Linked DNA regions of Styela clava. The protein of the gene in region 2 interacts with the protein of the main gene of each other region in a pairwise test. Links are inferred from orthologs where the notes say so. Each region holds a gene or a part of one and is shown on either strand. Other genes may lie near its edges.

The links.
Region 1: the proteins of KH domain-containing RNA-binding protein qki.S-like (region 2) and ELAV-like protein 1 interact in a two-hybrid assay, tested with the Caenorhabditis elegans proteins (2 studies listed by BioGRID). The link is inferred for Styela clava from reciprocal best matches to the Caenorhabditis elegans genes asd-2 and exc-7.

What each region holds. Positions count from the first base shown.
Region 1 is NC_135251.1:29,564,305-29,576,207, reverse strand, and holds the start of ELAV-like protein 1, read right to left. Parts: upstream 4,390-11,903; 5' UTR 4,229-4,389; intron 1,862-4,228; 5' UTR 1,854-1,861; coding exon 1,667-1,853; intron 1,451-1,666; coding exon 1,161-1,450; intron 977-1,160; coding exon 823-976; intron 568-822; coding exon 324-567; intron 1-323. Other genes in the region: uncharacterized protein LOC144419994, read right to left, coding at 11,014-11,455.
Region 2 is NC_135250.1:10,359,761-10,372,009, reverse strand, and holds the start of KH domain-containing RNA-binding protein qki.S-like, read right to left. Parts: upstream 5,676-12,249; 5' UTR 5,539-5,675; coding exon 5,100-5,538; exon of another isoform or gene 3,390-5,099; intron 3,128-3,389; exon of another isoform or gene 3,051-3,127; coding exon of another isoform or gene 2,618-3,050; intron 1-2,617. Other genes in the region: uncharacterized protein LOC120348618, read right to left, coding at 10,446-10,606, 10,810-10,942, 11,562-11,641, 12,244-12,249. UniProt on the Caenorhabditis elegans protein: RNA-binding protein that binds to the 5'-NACUAAY-N(1,20)-UAAY-3' consensus sequence in pre-mRNA introns to promote alternative splicing.

The DNA.
Region 1 (11,903 bases), on a different chromosome or scaffold from region 2:
CGAGTGCAAAACCTAAAACTAGCATTGAGATTATATAAAATACTACAAATTGCAGTGGCAAAATTGATGTTATGGAAAAGGCAAAAATTTAAATGAAAAGAATTGTACATATCTAGATGAAGTGAGGCCATTGATAGAGCATGTCACTATGGCATGTTCCACAAATAGTTTAGAAAAGCAAAGACTAATCTGGTTAGAAGTATTGATTAATAGACACCACCCATTTTACTCTAGAATTATGATATTCATTTTACAAGCACAAACAAGGCTAATTAGTACGAAGTTTTTTCAACATCCGGAAATTTAATGAATAGGATATTTACCTGAAATTGCGAGCCTGGTGATATAGTGGACCAGGTGTTGTTGCAGCCAGTCGTCTCGTGGGAGAAGCAGCGGCTGCATACAGTGTTTGGAAAACCTGTTGATTTTTCTGTGAAGGGTTGTTTGCGAATTTCACAGTGATTGGGTCTTTTGCTCCATGGGGAACAGTCCCATTTAGAGCATTGATCGCTATTTCTGCTTCAGGACGTTTATCGAATCGTACAAAGCCCACGCCTCGAGACATACCTGCATTAAACAAAAGCCTATCAATAATGCATGAGAAGCGTAAAAGCAGAGGCATGCACTTATAGTATTGAAAACATTTTAAATCAAAATTTCTATACTAGATAGATGAAAGTCGATTTTTGAAAATGTAAATGCACAGAAAAAAATTACATAAAAAAGAACGCATCAATATTCGACGAATAGAATACTTTTTTTTTCATGTTGGTATTTGACCTCTTTGTTTATTTAAAACTTACGCGTATCAATATGACTAACCTGTGCAAAAATCTACCAAAATTCTTGATGTTATGATTCTACCATATGGACTGAATATACGCTGTAGATCTTCTTGAGTCATGGACTTTGGTAAACCACTAACATATAGATTAGCATCTTTGATCAATGGAGTACTAGGACGAGCAAATGAAACCTAAATATAGGACATATTCAAGCATATTATAAATATGATCTCTACATTATTCCATGCTATATAAAGCACCAGTGAAACAGAAAAGAAATTCAAGATTCTTGTATATTTATATATGGCATATATATATATATATCCATCACATTATTGATAGCAAATTACACAGCAACAAGTATAAAATGTTTACCTTGATAGTTTTTTGCTGCATTCTTAGTCCATTCAAAGATGTTATAGCTTTGTCAGCATCAGCTGCTTTAACAAAATTTACAAAGCCGTATCCTAAACTTGATCCTGTCAGTTTATCTCGAATTAGTTTGCATGATTCCAATTCTCCAATCGAAGAAAACAAATTACGCAAATCTTCCTGGGTCATTGTTTGGGGCAGATAGTTTATGATAAGATTAGTTTTGGACTCGTCATCAGTTGGTGTAGAACTCAAGCTTCCGCCGACATTGACCATATTAGAACTTGACATAACTGAAAACAAATATAAACAATCATGTTCATTCATACAATAAACTTTTGAGATTAAATTTAACAAATGAATATTCTGATGAGTTATGCACATATATATGAAGCAAATATGGATTTAAGCAAAGCCTTATGCTTTAATTAAATTACAAAATTTATGAAATAAGTCACCAGCGCACAGTTCTAAAACTGGCATTTTAAACTGGCATTTGTATTAAATACCTGATGAGTAAGAAGCTGGCGTTCCCGGACTAGAATTTGAGATGACAGCAGGAGAAGAGCATTGATGGGGCTGTTGTTGAGATTGGGAAAAAACATGGGCTGCAACCTGATGAGTGGCATGCTGAGCATTCATGGTTAACGAATCAACAAGAGGATTCGGTCCATTAATTAAAGTTATGTTGTTCATGTTGAAATCTGTAATGATCAATTCATTAGGGGTAAAAAGATATATTACCAAAAAAATTCATTGTCAGAACCAAACGCTCACAAATGATGTTAATGTAAAACATCAAATAAAAAGACTGACTTGGGACAGCCTTGTATATAGCCTACATAAGCCATATTCATAAACACTGAGTGATGAAATATTTAAGCATTATTAGATATGAAAAATGACCCCAGGGTTGGCCTATTATTTCACCAAAAAAAAACTGCAATCTGTTCGTTATACAAATTAATATTGATAATTCTGAATGAAAAAATTAGAAAGCTGTACCAACTTTGTAATTTCAAGACTATCTTTATAAAAATTTAAATTAGAACATTAACACTCATTTAATCCCCAAGTACAAATATATTTTTAAAAAAAATCTATATTTAATATATACAATTGTCAACAGCTACCTAAACTTTGAAGCCTGATTCTTCTGTTAGCATAATAAATCATAAAGAATTTTCCTAATGGTGACTAGCACACTAAAACAAGTTTTGCAATATTTATCAACATTATTAAACTGATTGAGATGAGAATCATACTGAAGGGATCTTGAAGGGAAATTTGACTTGTTCACAGATTGAATTAAACAGACGCAACCTTGGTAAATCTAGGCATTTGTGCTAATGCAAATAATGACCTAATACAGCTTGTATAAGCTAAAATTATAAGTGCTCACAGTTATAAGTATAATTTTGTACTGTCTGTATCCTAATAAAAGACATGCCAATAAATCAAACATTTCAGTATATTTGAGAATTATAGCAGAGATTCAGTAAATTAGTAAGTATGGTAAGTAAATTCATTATATCAAAAAAATTTCTCATGAATAAACACTGAATACTGTATTGCACCATTAATTTTAAACTAATACAGCCCGTCAGAAAAATGACCGGGTATCTTAGTAACTGGTATAAATACAGCAAGCAATATTTGCCAAATATCGATAATATAAAAAGAGTTCAGATACCTAGCATATGGTTCTATTACAAATTTACGACACTCATCATTATTCCTGATGGAACAGTTAACAGCGGATATATGGATTTAATTCCCAGAATAGCACAACTACATATTGTATCCCGATCTATCATATTTTAGAAAGCCCCAATGCTGCAATGATCACATTTACATTACATGTTAGGATCTCATTTAGAAAAACTCCAAAGTGAATTCATGTTGATTTGAGTCTTCGATGAGAAAATAGCAAAAGTTGACCAACATAACCTCAATTAAAATGTGATAACGCATCCAACCACCTTTGCTATTATGTATAGCGTCTAGTTCGTCTAGTGTACATACAGTGTGCGCTAGAATACACTGTCTTGCAATGCAAGTAATGATCAATAAGCCAAATTAAGAAAAAGTAGAAACGTAACTATTTTTCAAACCAACTTTGATTACAACTCTCTGTCAAGCAATCGGGAGTTTCTCGCCGGAGCTCTGACGCTGTCTTTTCGCTCTTTCCCTTATCATTGACAGTTATGTATTTACCTAATACTGTAATATAGGCTATACCTATGAAGCAGACTGTCCATGAGCCTTGGGTCAAGCGCAAACTTATCTGATAAGTTTAGAAAAGTCTATGACTTCAAATTCAGCCAAGAAACTAACTTACTGCAGTACTGGAGTACGGTACTGCTTTAAATCTCAAGTTCAGTAAATTGAGGATCTGGTTCAATTCTTACCAATCTGGACTACAGGACTATAGAACTATATAAAGTCTGAAAGTAAGACGATAATACATTACCAGATTACTGCAAATAATAATACCAAATGAAGAACTTGGCATAAACCCATAATCCTGTAATCAGTCAACAACCCCAATTTCTGAATTTAAATCATTGCAGCCTTACTGCATTATCGTAGCAGATTAGGAAAGTAGCATTATATCAGTACCGGTATATTATTAACACAACACTGCAGTAACAAATTGATGGGATTAATTCAATCTCTCAAACAGCCATAATCAACATGACAAGGCTAGGCACAACTGCACAATCCAGCAATCAGACAATGGAGTGGTTATGCGGAGGACGGATTACTGGTAAAATGTGGGAATAATCACTTCCGATCGGAAGTGACTCGGGGTCGGTATTCGTATTAGGCCTATAACATGATAACTGCACGAGCTGACCATTGAATGAGTAAAACATACGACAGTACCATACTGCCACAGTAAATATGTAAACTCACAAATGTCTGAATGTCAAAATCCATGCCGCACAGCTGTACGATAAGGAGATGTGATGATACTGGTACGGTACCGGTACAAGCGCAGGAAACTCTTTGGTTTCAGACTGCAAAAAAAATGCTAAATTGAAGTTTAAAAGATAAATTAAACTCACCAAATATTTAAACACAAAAAGATGCATCCAGTCCGTACGCGCGATCGTCATCCACTGCGAACAAAATTCAAATAACACCGACAAACTTGAAACAAGAAGGCTCCGAAAAAACAAACTGCCCCAGAAACGCCCACAAAACTAGTCCAGCGACGGAATGGCAGGCATGCATCGTTATTTTATGCAGGAAATGGAACTGCTTCCAGTGTATATGCACAAATATATCATGCCTTCAATTGATATTATTTATTTCAATGATATCATGAAATTTACTGCTTATGTGACTCAACAATTATAATGAAATCGATATTGCGTAAAACATGTGATGATATATTTTATTGGTAAGTTTAAAAATACTGCGGATGAATATTTATTCAAAATGCATGCGTGCATAATGATATGCATGAAAGATCATAGTTAAGATCTCGAAGTATCCATTCACTAGAAAAGGTTTTCTCCACAAATTTGTTCTTCAAAATAAATTATGCAACTAACTTAATTTAAAATATCAAAAAGGAATGTGATCATTTTTCATTACAAAAATCCAATTGAACTAGCTGTTGTATTTACGATTGCATCAGTAATACATTCCAGTTATTTGTTTCCGTCATGCAAGAACCAAGATAGAAAATGATACACATGAAATAAATAAAAACAGAAAACGACCCTTCCTGAAATCACCCTTTCTAACCTTCCATACTATTTGCATGTGATTCAGAAAACTCCAAGAATTTGATTCATGTAGATCCCAGTCTATGCTAAGACAATATCACCACGCGAACGATGTATCCGCAATAATTAAAATCAAAAACTGGTGGAAAAAATGTTTATTCCTTATCATTAAAACAAGCTAACGTATTGGAAGTAATTTAACATGAAAGAGATATGGTAGGAATAATTCATATATATATAATAGGATTTCACATCTATGGATGTTTCCCCGAGTATCGTTTTCCTTGTTGGACACGTGTACGTGCGTAGCATTACATAAATACCTGTTTTATGAAAAACTCAAAACCGCCAAAAATGACTTACGCAACTCGGTTATTAGCGTGACGATATAGGTTGATAAATACTTTAATAAACCCCGAATACAAAATAGGTTGAAAATACTTTGGGTTGTTATGACAAACCTTGGGGTTTTAAGTTAGTGCGTGCGCCTCATTTTTATTCTTATAATAAATTGTAGCTCAGTTTTACGAACAGGTTGAATGTAGGAAATAAGTGACACAACAATGACTATTTCCACGCTACATATTGGTTTATAAGGTTACATCTAGGGTTAGTTCGGATACCTATAATTTTCACTATCCGGATAACGGATATATCCGGGTATTGCGTATTTTAAATATCCGATTAACTGGATAGTTACTGCTGATTTTAGAGAACCGATTTCGCAGGTTTTTTCGCGGTGAATTGACCAAGGACCCACCACACAATTCTGTTGTAAATACTCACATATGTATTATTTTTCTTGAATAAGAATGATTGTGCATTTTAATATTGCATGTGTCAATAAATAATAATTTAAGCTCAGTAATCGTACCGATGTACAGCGGAATAATAAAATGAAACATTTTTTGGAAATATTGTGTCCTAATTGTTTTTCCCCCGACTGCTAAGTTATTTTCTACTATTCAAATAATATGTAAATAATATTTATATTATTTCTACTTTATTGTTAATTTTTTTAAAAGTTTCTTTTTGTGTCCAGAGCCTCTTTTCTTTAAATTTTGACTCGTACTAAATTTTAGTGTCGCAGACTCACAATGATCGTTTCTGATCATCCGCACCTTCCTATCAATTGCAATGAAATTTAAAATTGTCATGTATAGTATTTTGTGTTCTATAATATTTTGTGATTTCTTGCACGACGAAATAAACTTTGTTAATATATACCATAAGAGCATACATATAAATGAAATCATGAACACAAAAAATCGTGCATTTCGAACATTTTATTTCGGGGAGAGAATTATTCAAAAAAAATAGAATATAGGGGGGACAAATTCCGTGAAGTGTATAGGAAAATATAAGTAATTTGAACAAAATTTTTAATAACAAAGCAAATTGATGAATATGAAAAAACCGAAGTGGTCAGAAATTTCTTCTAATTTGAAAACTTCACTTATTTAACATGTCACTGTAAATATTCTCACGTTTGTACTAATTAGGCCACAACTTCAAATCTATTTCCATTCGAATACCTTTTAAACTAAATTAACAGAGCCAAAACAATGCTGCGCCAGTTTTTGAACAACTTTACTTACCACCCTAAATGAGTAAACGAAAAACATGACACGATACAGAGTCTGTCAAATTAAACTTTGCTGAAATATTATAGACCATTTTCAAACAAATTTGTTTGTGAAAGTTCCATAAAAACCATAAATGTAATAACAGCCTTTTCCTCCTCTTTTTGAAATTTTCGAAAACGTCACTAATAAAGGCGGTCAAATTTTACAGGCTAATTTTGTTATCATCGCCGATCGTTTTCTTCCGCGTCGCGTGATTATTTGGGGAATTAACATCGGCATTATGGCAGTTTTAATTTGAAAAGAAGTTACATCCCGTGAAAAGTTACCCTTGTTGTAAATTCATTAAATACAATTATTACGAAATTTTGGCGATTCAACAGCGCCTAAAATAGAGTCTTGTTTTATCTATCACTGGCTCATAAAACAAGAGTCGTGGTATTTTCGTTAGCATTCACTTCCTTATTTTCAGTCAAAAATGTGTGTTTCAGATCTACTCTCTTAACGATAGATAGATACGACGATAGATAACATACTGCGGCCATTTCAGTTCCGGGCGAAATAAAACAATTATCGGCGTTATATACCGACGAGACTGAACCCGACTTTTCTCTCGAAAATGTTGATATATAACTATAAGCAGTTTATATTTACGCTATAAGCTAATTTATATCTGCATTTATTGTACTAAATAAATTATACTCATTGGAATTGCAATAACAGCTCAAATTTGATGAATTTTCAAGATCGCTAAAATAAGAAATTGGATTTGTTCGTGCAGCTTACCATTTATTTTCATATCTAGAGTAGAAATGCTTTTACTTTAAGGTAAGTCGGGCTCTTCTATAACGCAAATATGCAATAATCACATTTTTCTGCGTGTTTTGTGATGTAATACTTTAGTCAAATTCACTCCAGCATTACACGGATGACTAAAATATAGGCCGAGTAGTGTGGATATAAGTGATTATTATATTCTCTGAGAGATGTCAGTGGCCGGTATGTTAGTCGTTGGTGGCCACTCAACAAAAAATATAAAAATCACTAATGCGCATATGCATTATTAATACTGCTCTAGTATCCGGTTAACCGTTACAATAATATCCGGATATCAGATAGCAAAATACCTCTTGGTTAACCGGTTATCCGGTTAACCGCTATCCGGATAATCCAACCCTAGTTACATCACAATGTTCATTTTCTTTAACCCTTCACAAAATTTCCTTCCCTATTGTGAAGTTCTAATTGCGCTTCTAATTTCAACCGTGGAATGGGGTTAAAAGGGAGCTTGCACAATAGCGTTCGGGGTTTGGCAGACCTGCAATAGTTAAGAACCACTGCTCTCGGTTAAATGCATACTTTATCACGTAAAAATCGTGTTGTTTTGCAATTATCTTTTACGTCATATCATAAATAGTTTACACCAGTATGTTTTACGTCAAGTATCCATGCTTTAGATTTAGAAAAGATCGAACTGATAGCGAAGCGGAGTGCATTACTTGCGGCTACAGTTGCTCGTTGACAAGACAAGAATGCATTATTGCATTGTCGTCACATCGTCTATTTTCGCTTCTAAGTTTAATCCTAGAGAATTTAGTAGATATATAATTTATATATCTCAGGCAGAGGTGGAATAATATGGTTCTACCAAACGATGTGTCCTCGTTTCAGGATTTGGAAATATGGTCACCCTACACAACCGGCGCTGCATGAAACGGGTTCAAGGCAATTTTTTGCGGTATGTTATTAAATTCACTCAACATCAGACGCGATCGACGACTCGAGACGTGTTGGCCATTCCTGAAATATCTATAACATGGGATAGAGAAGTAGAAGAAAAGACAGCTTTATGATATTTCTAACCCTGACCTATCCCCGGTTGCCAATCCATGGGTACGGGGAATCGTAAACCAAATATGTATTTGTTTCAGGTGCGTTGATTTGATGGTGGTAAAAACCGTAATAGAACAGGGCTTTGTTTGCAAGAAAGAAGTTAATACGTGTCCGCAGTTAGTCGTCGTGAATCATAGAATGAAAATGTTTTTGAAGGGTTCATTGTGGATAAGTGCATGAGACGACGAGAAGCCTTGTCATATCGGTTGTGCAAATAACCATAACTAGGCCCCTAGACAAATTCAGCACTCGAATCCACGATTTCCATTCCACTATGTAATTCTTCGTTCCTCTCCACTTTTTCTCTTTGATAAGCGACGTTTGCTTTGTTTAGCTGACTCTCTGGTGTTCTGTCAGTCACACACAAAATAAAATTTTATAACGGCTGATTTAATCTATTTTTATATGTTTTATGGCAGAAACACTGTAAAGGTATACGAGACAGTGTCTTGATATTTACTGGACATTTAAACTCTTCAATGATGACAGCTTGTGCCTCTACGGCAAATTCTCACTGTGTTGTGTTGCCACCTCGGCAAATACATAGCGAATGACATATATATATATATATATTAATGGCTGGCAATAAGGAATTATTGACTGAATCTAGTAACCACGTAACGACATTTTAATAATAAACTCTCAGATGAGATTTCTGTAAGTTGGGAATATTTGATTACACAAATACTGTGAAATATATCACGAATCGTCGACGTCATCAGAAATGAGCAATATGGGAGTAGATATAACTTATCAAGAAAAAATATGAGAAATTCAGCCACCATTGTCCCAACAAGTGAAAATGTATGAAAAAATTAAACGTTTTTTAAAGCCGATCTGTAATCCTTGGAGTTGTACTTGGAATTACACAGCTCGCAAAAATGTATAATAGGATGAAGTTGTTTAATGAATTGACCGTGGTTAACGATTTAGATTGGAACTAGCACTGTCACCCCAAACTGATGTCAGATAGATATCAGCGACGTATAGTCATATATATAGGGCCGGGCCATAATATACCAAGGTCAAGCGAATAAAACAAATGTACATTTAATACAATCCTTCCATACTCAAGGTAGGCTATAACAAAGAATAGATAATGATTCAGATACCATGGCGACAGTCCGAGCATCCGAACGCGCAATGCAATGGTGGCCACGATTTCCGATAATATCGGAATCGCAGTCTCAGGTTCGACTGGCAAAGGTTAAATTCTTTTGATACTGACAGTCAGAGATAGTTCCACTCTATCCCACAAAGGTAAGTAATATAATAATAAATGAATTGGTTATAAGTTAGCTCCATCTCAAAACCCACCTTGTATACAATCATTTGTTTTGACTTTTGAGGAGTATTTATGTCGATATAAAAGAGGCAGTCAGCAACTTTCATTTCTAAAACGGGCGGCAGAAATATTTAAACTTGTTAAAAACTCGAATGAGCAAACAACGTATGGTGCAATTTCAGTACTTTAAATTAAGCGACATTTTCAGCGGAAATTTGTCGGCATTCTAAAATGATAGTAAGTTCTTTATGGATACATTTAGAAACCTTAAGTATTCAAGACTTATGAGACAATTAGACAGTTACGCATGGATAAACATACATCTGCAATCAACTCCAACTCCAAATAAAATTCAATGAGAAAATAATATTTAGTGATCCAATAATTTTGCCACAAGTTTTTGTTGAGTGATATGACACGAATAAAGGCACAGCAACTCGAAAACAAAATCGAAATGTTTTTGGAATTCTTAAATCTAATAATTTCAGCAAAAATCGAATTCTTTTTCGAAAATACTTCAGCTGACAAACTTGTTTCAATCATATTTATTAGCGTTGTATTGATTTCATGTCGCCTGAATTAAAAAGGTATTCAAAACATTATTAAGAAGATATCTTTTGTTGGTGCTTATGTCTGTACGTGGAAATTGGATTAAAGCGGCTTAACATAAGTGATATATTTCGAAATCGGTAGAGGTGATATTGATATTCTACAAACTAATAATGTCAATAATGTCAATGAGTCAATAATGGCGCATGGCTGTGAGGTTCTAATTTTTTTTTTTTTTGGAATGTTCAAATTTTCAATAATACCCCGAAGATTTGAATGTACAGAACATCTGTCCCTAAGTTAGTAATAATTTTGACTCCGACAAAATCTCGACTTGAATTCATTTGAGCGTGATTCTTTATCAGTCAAAAAGTTTGGCTGCAACTTCGACAACAAGGTTCGACGACATAAATGTTAATTTTTTTTTCGGAATATTCAATAGTGCAATAAAATTAAACTGCCGATAAGAAACTTGGTTTGAACAAAACCTTTTCCATTTAAAATTCATGTTTTGTAGAATTTAGATGAAGTCATGTTTCATGTAAAATTTGTCGTTGGTTTTTATATCATGATTTATAACATTTTGTAGAAAAGTTAAACATGGTTATATTTTTATGCCAGATGAACAGTTTATTCGGATGTAAATTGCTATCGAACAGAATATTATAAGATCGTACTAATCACATTCTAGTGTAAACTATTTATAATATAAATTTCAAATACTGTTCAAAATATAAAAGCAGAAAAACAAAAGATCTTCAAGTATATTTGTCCGACCCGTAATCAGAAAGGAATCGACACGATATTTATTGGATTCTGCGTGATGGGACAGTTTCCGGATAAATATAATCTGGATCAGTAAAATCACCATCGACATATGTAACTTCGTATACAACCTCATGGCGAGAAAGGCTCGTGTGCGTCATTGGTTCCAGATATCCATTAGGTGGAGTGTCAACTGGAGCAGTAAATTCTGGTTCTGTAATATAACCAGTATTTTCATATCCATCGTTGACATTGCCTTCTTGACGATTTTCTCTTGAGTACATCGCTGTAAGATATTTATTGATTTGTGACCCCTTTTTAGCTTCAGAAGATGGTCTGCGATAATCATCCTTATGATCGCCAGATGGTTCGGTTTGTTGTATTGGTCCCCGGGAAATGCCTATCTCTTCGTACACCGGAGGAGGTGTCGGTAACGGACGTTTCCGATAATGCACTGGAATGCTTTCTTCTCGATGTTGAAGTCTAGAAACGAATATAATCTTAGATTTATTATTATTAATTTATTCGCTCCCGACAAAGCTACGAAAAGCATCCTATTCAAGCAAGACGTTTTACTGTGTTAGTTGCTGTCACTATGACGCCATATATATTATTTGTTCATGTTTGATTAATTAATATTTGACATCGAGACCTACGTTGCTGATAGCAACTACTAGTAAGTATAGAGTTAATAAGTTTGGAATGACCGGAAGGTTTTTTACAGAATAAGCTACTCATTCTTTTAATTGGTTGGTATTTACCTATACTGCAGGGCTGTGGATTCGAATCCAATCCGAACGAAAATCTATTACCTGCTAATATAGCAAGACATTATACGTGTTTAGTTTTTGTTAACGTCGTTATATTATATAACATAATATGTGGTTGCTCGTTTTTTTACTCATTAGTGACTTATTTCATTATGTAGTCG
Region 2 (12,249 bases):
AACTCCATTATCAATATTAAAGTAGATATATCTTTGAAAATGACTCCAATCACGAAATTAAATGAATATATTTGTGTTATGGCGTAGAAAAACTCTTAAATCAAGTAAAAGTTTTAATGTTCTAAATTTAAAAAAACATGGCAGGATTTTTATCATACACGTGGACATGATAATACGCATTGTGACAAACAAAATATAGCTTGTTTTAATTGTGTAGGGTTATGTGAAACCTTTAAAAATTTAGATGCCAAAATGCAATATCACTGGTGTCAAATTTCATGTGCGTGATTTTTTGCACCAAAACTATCAAATTTCACCTGCTCTAAAGAAAATAATGTTATCGACAAACAACCGCAAAACGCGCATTTCGCAAAAAAAAAACGAACATCGGTTACAAGAAACCATCAAATTTCCCACAAAAATGCAACAAAATGTAATCCTATATATTGTGGTACATCAGAGAGTAAACACATCAAATCATGCACACAAAGCAATATTCATTGTTTCGCTCTTTCGGAAATATTATTCAAGTGTGATAATCAGAAAATTGGCGCAAATTTGATTACTGGACAATTGAATGATCCAGCGGAGCGCAATATACCATTATATAGATTTGATTTCTGTCGGATCTCGTTCGTTGGAATACTTCAGAATAAATCGGTCCGGAATTGAAGTGCACTGTTTTGGTAACAGTTAATTAATTACATAAACTGAGTGGCGCCAAATAAACCACTTCAGTATGTCCGTTGCGATAGGGTTTATTTATGCCTTTCATGGTATACAATTTTAGAGCTATAGTATTTATCTCAACCCTGTGGAAATTCAATTTTTGACAAATATCGCGCGGTCTTTTTCTCATATTATACTTGCGTGATTTTCACAAATATAATTTATTTTTCCATTGCAAGGTAGAATGTCCGATTGATATTTGGTCAAAACATGTTGCTATTAAATTTTAAAAATCTATTATGAAGTGTGATTCCGTGGTCATTCAATGGTAACCAATCTTAATCTGACCCACTTGAAACACACTCTATATTTTGTAAGCGCTGGATCACAAAAACCAAAGCATTTTAGTCAATCGCGTCCAATCCTGTCAACATGAAACAACTTTGAGATCATAATAATAGTTGCTATTTGCTTGAAATATTAATTGGTCAACGAAATGTTCACTAAAGGCTTATAATTAATTTTTGTTTTCCCCATTTCATGGTTTCACGAGAGATCCCCCATCCTCCCATTTCAGTTTCACCTCTAGAATTATTCTTACTTTGATTAAGCTGTTTGGTTCACAAAATATTTGGTCAGCTAAAATAGTCAAAGTCATAAAAAAATAAACATACAGCCAGATTTACCATAATTTAAAACTTTTTTATGTGCTAATATCAAACAAAACAGCATTGATTGCATTGTGAGTCATATGTTTTGTACAAGACTGAACGCTTCATTTATCACTGTAAAGTGTACACAAATTGTCCACTCATATTACAAAACCATTACAAAGATACAATATAAGTCTCAACTCCGGCGGTTTGAGCTCTGTATTATTTCCTGTGTAAATTGCTAGAAGACCTTAGGAAACGACTACAGAATGCTTGAACAGTTCAATTGGTCTAGAAGTATTATAGTTATTAAGATAATACCAACGAAGGGATGTAACATTTATTCTGGTAACTGCAACAGAATATTTTATTGAATATATGCTCAACAACTAATATGATGTTTCGATCTTAATCAGTCTTACAATTTACAATCTTACTTTATTTACTTAATATACCATACAATCACATGTCAACATTTAATTATACAAATTGAAAAATTCCCATCAGTTTGAGTAATGTATATTGAAAACAATGTTTAAATACTCATACATACACAGCATTATGTCAATTTGGCTTTGAAATTTTCTTTGCATTGTGGTTGACTTTGTATTGACGCATTCAATATTTAAAAATGGCTCAATAAATATGTTAAAAGGTTTGCTTCCCACTACCATTGTTTGCTATGTCAATGCAGTGTGTTAGGTTTCAATACACAAAACAAAGAGAGTTTTGTTTGAACTGACAATATTAATGTAAACTGTAGTATTACAATTTTCTGTTACACAATATAATATGTGTAATTTATGTATAAATTGTGGCTATAGCAATATTGAAATACAATAACTTATTATTTTTCACTTTGTTTTTGTTGTAAATACTCTAACAGAATGTTTTAATAAACATCACAGTGAAACATTCATTGTGTAATCCTTCAAACTATAATACAAATTCTTAACATTATTCTTTGAATTCTTATTATCCTATTCTATTCAATCAATCAAGTAAGTCTTTCACACATTCGATCGCAATTGTTTTGTGTAATAAATCTCCAGTCATATAAAACCTTCAAAAGTTAAATTTTTAAATTATTCATGATAAATGTGGCAACAATGGTGTATATTACACCTGAGTTTTATTGCATTTCATTCTACAAACCCAGATAATCAATATCCTATGAAGAGAATTTTTAAGACGGAAGAAGTATTTATAATAAAACTCAGGACAATCTTCTTGACAATCTCTCAACATATAATTCTTCTATATGAAATAACCCAATCTTGTAGCAATGTACTCACCTTCATCAAGTAACCTTTCAACATGTAAAAAAATACTTGGATAACTTTGACATTGTTTCTTATCTTTTAATAGTTGTTGAAGATAGTTGCACCTTTCCTTTGTTTTGCTGTCAGAATCGTGTGGCAGTGATTGCATAAGTGCTTGTGTTGCACCTAACAATGTGTTTGCGCAAAAACCATTTGACCTTGATGTGCTACTTTGTAGCTGGCTTATTTGACTATTAGTTGAATTAAAAGTTTGAATCGAGGGAGCCATAGAAATTCTCGACAATGGCTGAGATACTGTGCTTGCAAATCCATTTAATGGAACCATGTTTAATGCCGCGGATTGTGCAGGCAACGTTTGCGAAGTCATTGAATTTGTCAAATATGCAGTCTGATTTTCAAATTTAACACCAAAGTCCGTCAGGGTTTGTGCACCAGCAAGATTCATCAGGCATTTGAGTTGAGCAAATTTTTGATAAAAAATACTAAAACTATTAACACTGTTATTGGTTCAAGAATAAATATATTAATTTCAATAACAAAGAGGATATCAAAGAGTTTCAATATATGTCACGAAGTTAATCTCTTTATTTTGACAGTCCTGGTGATTTATGGATACTGTGGGACAAAGTCACTAACAAGCTAAATAGGCCCATGAAAAATATAGCTACAAAGGATGCTCCAAATAAACCTTGACACAAATGGGATAAAAAAAATCATTTTTATATCACTTTTTATTTTCTCGTCATGTAATAACATCTACTAATAGTAGAACTCTTTTTTTTAGACCACTTTGAGCTTTCAAAATTCAACTTTTCACTCAAATAAATTAGATTGGATTCTACCACCTATCAGAAACTGTCTGTGTTTAAAAAAAACTGAATATAATCTGAATTTCTATCTCTCTCTCTCCAATTCCTAATTACCCCTACTTATACAGAAATCTATTGTAAACAATCAAATATAAAAACAGATTAGGGATTGCATTGTCATGAAATGTCATGGGAATTAGTAAGCCAATAAGTATTGAACTAATTGGCCCCTAAGGTGGAAATTACCATATTTTTATACAAGAAGCTGAATGGAATCTATTGCCTTAATAAATTTCAAAATTGAATCACTGTCCAATCTAATTTTTATAATTCATTTCATCTAACCTCAAAATTGACTTAATGCTGAGATAAATTGTATATAAATCTGTCTGTATGTCTACACATTCCCATAACATCGGATTTGGATATGTGATAATATTTATAGTCACATACATATAAAAGCTGCATAACTGTTTTCTTATACTGCTATAAGAATTATATTATGGCATTATGTTATGTTTTTTCTGAGCACCTAAGAATTTTGATCATATATCTGTCTATAGTCAGATAGTAGAATTTAGATGATTGGTTCAAATCAACTTTTAATGTCTCATGGCTTCCCAATCCTTGTACTATTAATTCATTCTTCTGAATAAATCATCTTATTTTTGGGTTTAAATTATACTCGTAATTATAAATCTAAATAATTGTATACACTGCAACCTGCTCAGGCACTGAGTTACCGTATGCTAAGTACTGTAGTACACACAGCTCAGGGCAATTTCTGAGTTTGATCAGTCAGTCCACTTGAGTTACTTTATCTCTGTTCAAGAGTTCTTCAATTACAACTGTTTTTATCATTACTAACATAGTATTAAGTAACTTAATACCGCATACTGGCATACGAAAGATGTTATATGACTCTTGTCTTAAGGCTATCAACACCTGAGGCTAGGTTGGTTTGTGCGACTTTCTCCTGCGTCAGAACAACCAAGTTATCTTGTATTTGCATTCCTGTGGTAGCTATAACATGATAGAGCAAGCAAATACCACTTGAAAAAACTACACGCTGCAGAGTACGAGAGCGATAAATAGGGCAGCCACAAAGATCTCTACCGCATTGAAAACCAAAGAAATGAAAAGACAGACGGGTCACAGCAGAATTCGGCATCGAGAGAGCGAACATTGAAGTATTGTTTACATTAGGTTTACGCTCGACTGATTCGTCTCCAAGTCTTTGTTTCGTCATAATTTATTCCAAGAATATCATTTATTAAATAGCATGAAATATTTCCTACCACGGTATTAACATTCAGTAGTTTAAATCTTTTTAATCACAGCGACGTGCATTAAAACAGATGGCAAATTCATCTAATCTCATCTACGTTCCTTAGATTTAAAATAATCAAACACGCAGACGATTTACTACCTAAATGAATAGCAATGCATGCTCGTGTTATCCAAATACGGAGCGCATAATTAGCTAATGCATAAATGGTAAATGTGTCCCGTTATTTCTTGAAAATTAACAGTTCTGTCACACAGTTTTCGACTACCAATCTATGGTTTAAAAGAGAAAAATGTCATATATATTCGAGTCTATTCTATTTTACCCAAATAGTCGAATATGGTGATATTGCATCATTTTGCTGGTGTAATTAATAACCTTCAAAAAATTGTCTTACCTTCGTCTAGTATTCTGTCAATGTGAACAAACATTCCGCCAAAATTCTGAAGCTGTTTCTTATCTTGCAGTAGCTGTTTGAGATAAAGACATTTGTCTCTGGTCTTTCGTTCTTCGTCATTAGATGAATATGAGGCCGTGTTTGTTCCAGGGGAGCATATTGGATTGTCATTCGAACTTTGAGTTGATGACGAACTGTCCATTGAGCTAATTGTGCTATCACCTGGTCCTTGCTTGGGTAACATAGCGGGAATAGAAACTGGTGGAGGTAGTATAGACCCTGGTTTTCCGAGGACAGGGTTGTTATGGAGAAATTGGATTGGAGGTTGCTGCGGTGGCAAAGTCTTGACCGACTCGGTAAACCCTTGTCCTGGGAGCTGCTGTGGGAGTGGGTTAAAAGTCCTCACATGTGGAAAATTGATGCCGGCTGTGAGGGGCATAGGGGGATAGTGGTTTATAGCCTCAATCTTGTCAGTTGGGTGGATCAATACGTAAGAAAATGGTGGTTATGTAGTGATTTCGTCTTTTGTTAGACTCTGTACACGTATTAAACGCAAGCTATATGGTAGTAAATGAGCTGTAAAAATGAATATTAAAAAAATAGGTCAACGCTTTATTGGAAAAAATTCACCCGATAGGCCGGAAAAAGTAGATAATTGCACCTGGCTACTTTTTGTCCTCTGCTGACTTCTCGTGGATTGAGTTTCATCTTGCATCAAAATGTATACCTTCATTTGGATCATATTAACTAACATGAGCCAACCGTAACGACGTACAAGCCCTATGTGACAGATATGTTTCTGTCATTTTAAAGCTACGGGTTTTACCACGAACTTATACTGGAACGCATTTTTTCTATCATTTCGCAAGAATGGTAAACCAAAGAATGCTATTAGAATGAAGTTTTCTCATGATTACCCAACTATGAAGCTTCGGAATCGAATACCTTGATAGTGTTTACGAAAAAAAATTTCCGCTTGGTCTGGTATGAAGTAAAACGCGTTGAAATTTATTTTGAGACTGATGATATGTGTTGGGAATGGTATTTTAACGAAAAAATATCGTGATTGCAAAGAATAAGTATCAAAACACAAAGTATTCACTGCTCCATTTTACCGAAAACTTTTAATAGCGTGCTCTGCCATGATATTTCACCTGAATAGGTAACTCTATGAATATGAAATATTTACAATCAAATGCATATTCAAGATGGATTTTTAGAATATAGGTGAAATTTCGTTATTGATCCTTTGTTCATTAATCAAATTTTTGATCTGAGGATAACCCGACCTTAGCTATCTGTGACCTTTTATTCAATTTGGCCAACGCGAGTTTGTATATTACGTATCTACATTTTACCAACAGTTGAATTGTGAATTAATTTTTTCAATTTGAATACGAAAAACTAACAAAAGTGCATTTTGTATCAGACAGCATCATGTCCCTAAAACTATTCGGAATTCTCTAAGCAAATGTGCGTTTTGAGCGACTGATGACAAATCACCATCTTCCCGCCCCAATAAATAGTTAGTTCATTTCATAAGAATGATCTATTGTTATACGTGATTCTACCTTTCGAACCGTTATGCACGACGTCCTGCGACACAAATTTAGGTAATCATCCCATTGACGACGGATGAAATTGCAGGCTTCGTTTTGAATATTTTCCAGATTGTTTTGTCATATGTATAATCTTTGTTTCCTGACACAACAATATATTGTAACTTAAGAATATATATATTTCGGAAGGGAACGATAGATGCTCAGATGAGATGAGGGTGTTGCACAGATTATATGGTACCACTTTAATCATTTTTAAACAATTCACTAACAGATTACTATCAAAAAGTTGGTATTTATCAAAAGTTCTATTAAAATAAATCGATTCTTAAAAATATAATATGAAATTGATTCAAACCAAATCTCTGTTCCTTAAGTTAATTTTGATTCCTTTTCTATTGCACGTGCACATCATTAATACCTCTTTATTACTTTAGCACTCGTTTATAGATTTGACATTTAGTAATTTTTAAAGGGTCAACCACGGGGGGATAGATAAATTATGCTCGAAATAGGCGACTTATATCCGGTTCATGTCAGGTTTGCGTCAAATTAACCGGTCACTGATTTGTAACCAAGATGGCATAAACTACGATAAATTCCATAATATTAGCATCGTCTTTTGTATACACCCCGAAGGCAAGAAACGACGATTCTCGGCGATAAACTTTGTTGATGCTATCTGTCATAATGCTCAAACAACGGGCCTCGTTATGAATCTTAATATTGAGTCGTCGATATTAAATTATGTCATCCAAGTTTTCAAAAAAATGCACAAAGATTTATAGTCTATAGATCGTGGGGCTTTTCATAAGATAAAATATAATTTATACCTAATTCAGACACCTAATACGCTATAGCAGTATTCGATATCGTGTTTCTGTTATGATGCAATTTGGCATCTCCATATCTTCTTACATTACCACCAATTCGAAAAGATTAGTTAATATGCGGCGCCTTTCAATATCCTAATGCGAATATTCCTGATTCTGATCTTCTAATCTCGGTAACTTATTTCTCGAATTTCAATGAACAAACAGATCCATTTTATGATATCACAGTCTACTTCTTAGACGCCGACTCAACTTATTGCTAAAGCAAAATTCAACAATCTATAGAAAATGTCATGTCTAAACAATCTATGAGGTATAAACAGTTCTCGTTGCAACTTTTGTTATAGAAAGTGTGCCCCTTTTTACAAAAACTAGGATTTTTATTGCGGTGTGTTCTGATTCCTAAATGCAAAATTTGTCTAACCATCTATAACAAGACTGCCCAAGATTGAAATATTAGGGCGCACACCGGGGAACAAGATGCAAAAAATAACACGGTAGTTGACAGTAATAATTTAAACAAAAACACTTAGACGAAGCCCATTTATTGCTTCACTAATTTTGTACAAGTAACGAAAGACGACCACTTTGCGCTCTATCTACTTTTTCCCTTTTATCGAAATTCTTTCAAGCCGAACGCAGGTATTTTTGTACGGCGCGAAGATTGCAATCGGTATGCGTGAAATCTCTTAAAAATAGAAAGAAAGTAAGGGACCCGTGTATTTTATTGCGGAATTTCATTGTTGGATGCTGTCTGTTTTGTTGTTCGCTGATAGGTTTAAAACGAATGGACGGCACCTTTCTTAGATTAAAATTCCCTCTTTGCAACTAAGCGTGATAAGTAAAATAAAATAACTTGCGAATAGAACTAAAAACGTAGAGAAAATTAGGTCTTTGTTAATCGAATGATCTCTCCACCTATAGACAATCTGACCATTGTTTGCTGCAAAATTAAATTACGTTGCTTCTGCAACAACAAAATCTTGCTGTATGGGTATTTGAAGATGGCTATGCAAGAAACGTAGCATAGTTTTTATCCTCAATCTTAAATAATATTATTATAGATATTATATCTTAAAAAGTTGGAAAAAGGACAATTCAATGACTATTTCTCGCCTTCGCGTATTTTTTTCAAATTTTCTATCACTTTCCAAATAGTAGAAAATTGTAATGCTTCACTAATGCGCTTTCAGAAAAAAATATATACATTGTTCGTCATCAATATGATGTTCATCTACGACACGGGTCGACAACTATTAGCATTGAAAGAGCCATTTGGCATCTTTTCCGTAAAACCCTAACCCACTCTGAGCCGCAACATCTACTCTAATATCAGTGGCTTCTAAAACCCCCGGAAAATTGCTTATGATGAAATATTTTAGTTCACACTAAGAGGAAGGCAAATAAATTACGAATGATGCAATAATTCAGTTTACGAGAAAATGGAAAAAACTTGGAAAATGAAAAAAAGTTTGTTTTGACAGATTCGAATCACCTTAATGCGATCTATTTTTACCGCTCTCGACTTATACCGGCTGTGATATGTAATTAGTGAGTTGTAATCGACTTTATGCCCCCGATTTTCATTGAATCCCAACTGCTTCTAACAAAAATTTGCCGTAGCCACTTTGATTCACGGGAGCCAGAGATCCGAATGCGGCTCCGGAGCAGGGTTGCCATATTGGCTTTTTAACGCGTGCAACAATAGCAAGCTTTACTACTCAACTTTTCGATTTTTGCTTAAACATAACCAATCAAAAATAAGTCAACAATGATGATGCCTTCAAACATGTGATAATCGCCAACACTTCAAAACAATCTCTTCAAAATAAGCATAACAAATATATTTTTAATAGTAAAATATATTTCAAATCTGTCAAATCATGATACTTTTGTACTTGTTAAAATTGTTGACTTTTTCTGTCTTGATCTGTCTTTTTTCATCACTTGGATCTGACAATCCTACTCAGAAGCCGCAGGTTGCCGATCGCTGATCTACGCCGTATAGATTCTACAGCATCAAGGAAGATTTCCTAGAAGAATGTGTAAAGATCGCAACCAAAAGTATTTATTTTTAGATTAGATGGTCAGCAGGGCATTGATTCTTGATACTGCATATTCATATTTCCATCCAAACGTTGTCCAGTTTATTTCAAGATATATGATTTTATTGTAATATAAAAATGGTAATCAGAAATGATAATCTGAGTGATACAACTGACATGCTAACGCTATGAAAGTGTGCTGATGTTGAATTCTCAATTATTGGACACGAAGTGGACATAACGATCGTTTCAATATTATGTTGTTGTTGTTCTTTGACACGTTTTTAAAAAGTCGCTTTTCTCTTCGAATACTGGACCAATTGCTTTGAAATTTTCAGTGGTTGAAGATAAAATTTTTCTCCAGAAGGCTATTACTTTTTTTTTCGCTATGACGTCATCAAAATTATTGCCATTGGGTGGCGCTACGTGTCCATATATTGGAGCATAGCTCTCTTGTTGTATATATGTTCATTGCTTCGTAGTACAACAAAATTGTATTGAATTCCAACTAAACTATCAAATTACTTTCCCACTCCGTTCAAAATCTAACCGCCCACTATAAAACTTCAAGACGTCATTTGTCATAGATAAACTGTATATTTGTGTGAGTAAACTGTAATGTAATAAACACTGCACAAGCCAACCAGAATTAAATAGTAATTAAATTAAGTTCCCGGTGTGAATACACTCTCCTGGAGACTTTTCAGTCAAACAACTTCAACCTCGTGACTGTTCATTGTTTGCATATGATACATAGAAGTGGTGACTTTGGCAATAAAATTCGATGCTTTTTAACAATATACTTTGAAAACTATATAGTTTACTATTTCACTTGAGTGGAAGATAGTAATAGTAGCAACACCTCTTCAAATAACAGTGCATTGACGTATGGCGCTAAATGAGCGTCCTTTATATGTCATCAACTTCTTCGGCGGCGAAGTACGTCATTTTTTCCATAACCTCTGTTAATTCAGACATTTTGTCAACGAATAACGTGTCCTCTTCTGCTGAAATAACAACGTTTTCGAGTTCCTGTAAAGCGATTTGAAATTCTTCTGTAACGTCATCGCCTGAAATTTATAAAAGAAAATGGAATGGAATGCTCACGACTATTGCTGTGCTCATTGTGTTGTTGTCCATATTATAATTGTTACTTAATCTTAGAAGTTTTTGATTTTATCGTATCTATATGAAAGCAAAATGCATGTGTTTTAGATAAATTTCGCGCTTGTTGTGATGTACGACCAAAGTTAACTTTAATTGAAAAATTTACCTCCCGATGAGCTCAGTATTGTGCGCAGTGGAGATTTTTCTGATGCTGTATGCTTCGTAGGTGTGGCATTTGCAGATACGTCGCCAATTGGAGGAGGAGGAGCAACAAATACAGGGTTACCGTTCATGTCACGCTACAAAAGTAAAAAATGATAATAATTTAAACAACCGCAAATGACTAATTTACTGTAAATACTGCAAATAAAATTGAACTGAAGAAAATATAATTAGGGAATCGCAAATAAAACGTCACCCGTGATTTACTACTGAGTCATCTCGAACATAAACTCTGATTTGAACAATTTGGTTCCAAGTGAATACGACACTAAAATACAACTTCAAGCTGAAAGCTTGGTAAAGCCAATGTTCCAAAAAATAGATTTCCTCTCAAATCCCAACAACCCACGTTTTACAGCTTAGTTCGCGGTTCTATACAGCCACCAAGCGATTGTCGTACACAGATGTCCAACTAATAACCTATATATATATCTAAATATTTGACATAAAAGCAATGCAGTGTTGTAGGTAATACCACGATGGGATATCAGCACACATTAAAAAATATCTGTGTTCGTGAAATGACGTTATTCCTTCGAATGAAATCAGCAAGGAAATTTATTCGTTATATTCAACGAGTAGGCTATTGAGCACTAGATTTGCTTCACGGGGTCATCATTTTATTGGCCATCTAGATTAGAACATAATTCCAAAGAAATTTTTACATCCAAAGTAAAATTATAGACTTGTAATTACCTGTATTATAGGAGTGTAATGTGCAAGCATATTTGACACGGCTTGTAATGTCTTGAGGTTTATATGAAGTCCCGATAAACCTGTGTTAAATTCAAATATTTCAAACAATGTACATATATATAATATATATCATAGATTATCGCATATTATGTGAATTAAAACAAAATAATATATAGATGGAATATAATAATGGGTCAATATTTTAAGCATTCTCAACTTTCTCGTATTGAATGGAGTAAGTATTCGATCAAAGATGGGATGTTAAGATTTCCCAAACGGCTAACACCAAGTAAATTTGATATGTAGATCTTTTTATTCAGAAAATTTCACGTATACACGTGCTATCGAGAAAGGAAAATTGAGTCACGTACTATGCTGTTATAACAAAATTTGAATCGAGCAAAAAATAGTGCGTAACAAAATCCAGAACGCGTTTGCAGGCCTTTTTTGTTTCAGTCAATAAATTTCGAATCAACTTTTGAGAATTTAAATATATGGCAATATAAGAATGATTGCCCCAATACCGGTATAAAACTACCTACGATTCCGAGTCCGCATTACTCACTGTACAGTCAATTTAGTAGTAAATAGAATCTATATCCGACATTCTAATGCTACACAGTAACGTCCAGTTTTTGGTTTTCCGACTTCATTTCATGCACACTACTAATGCTTTACTTACTGCCAG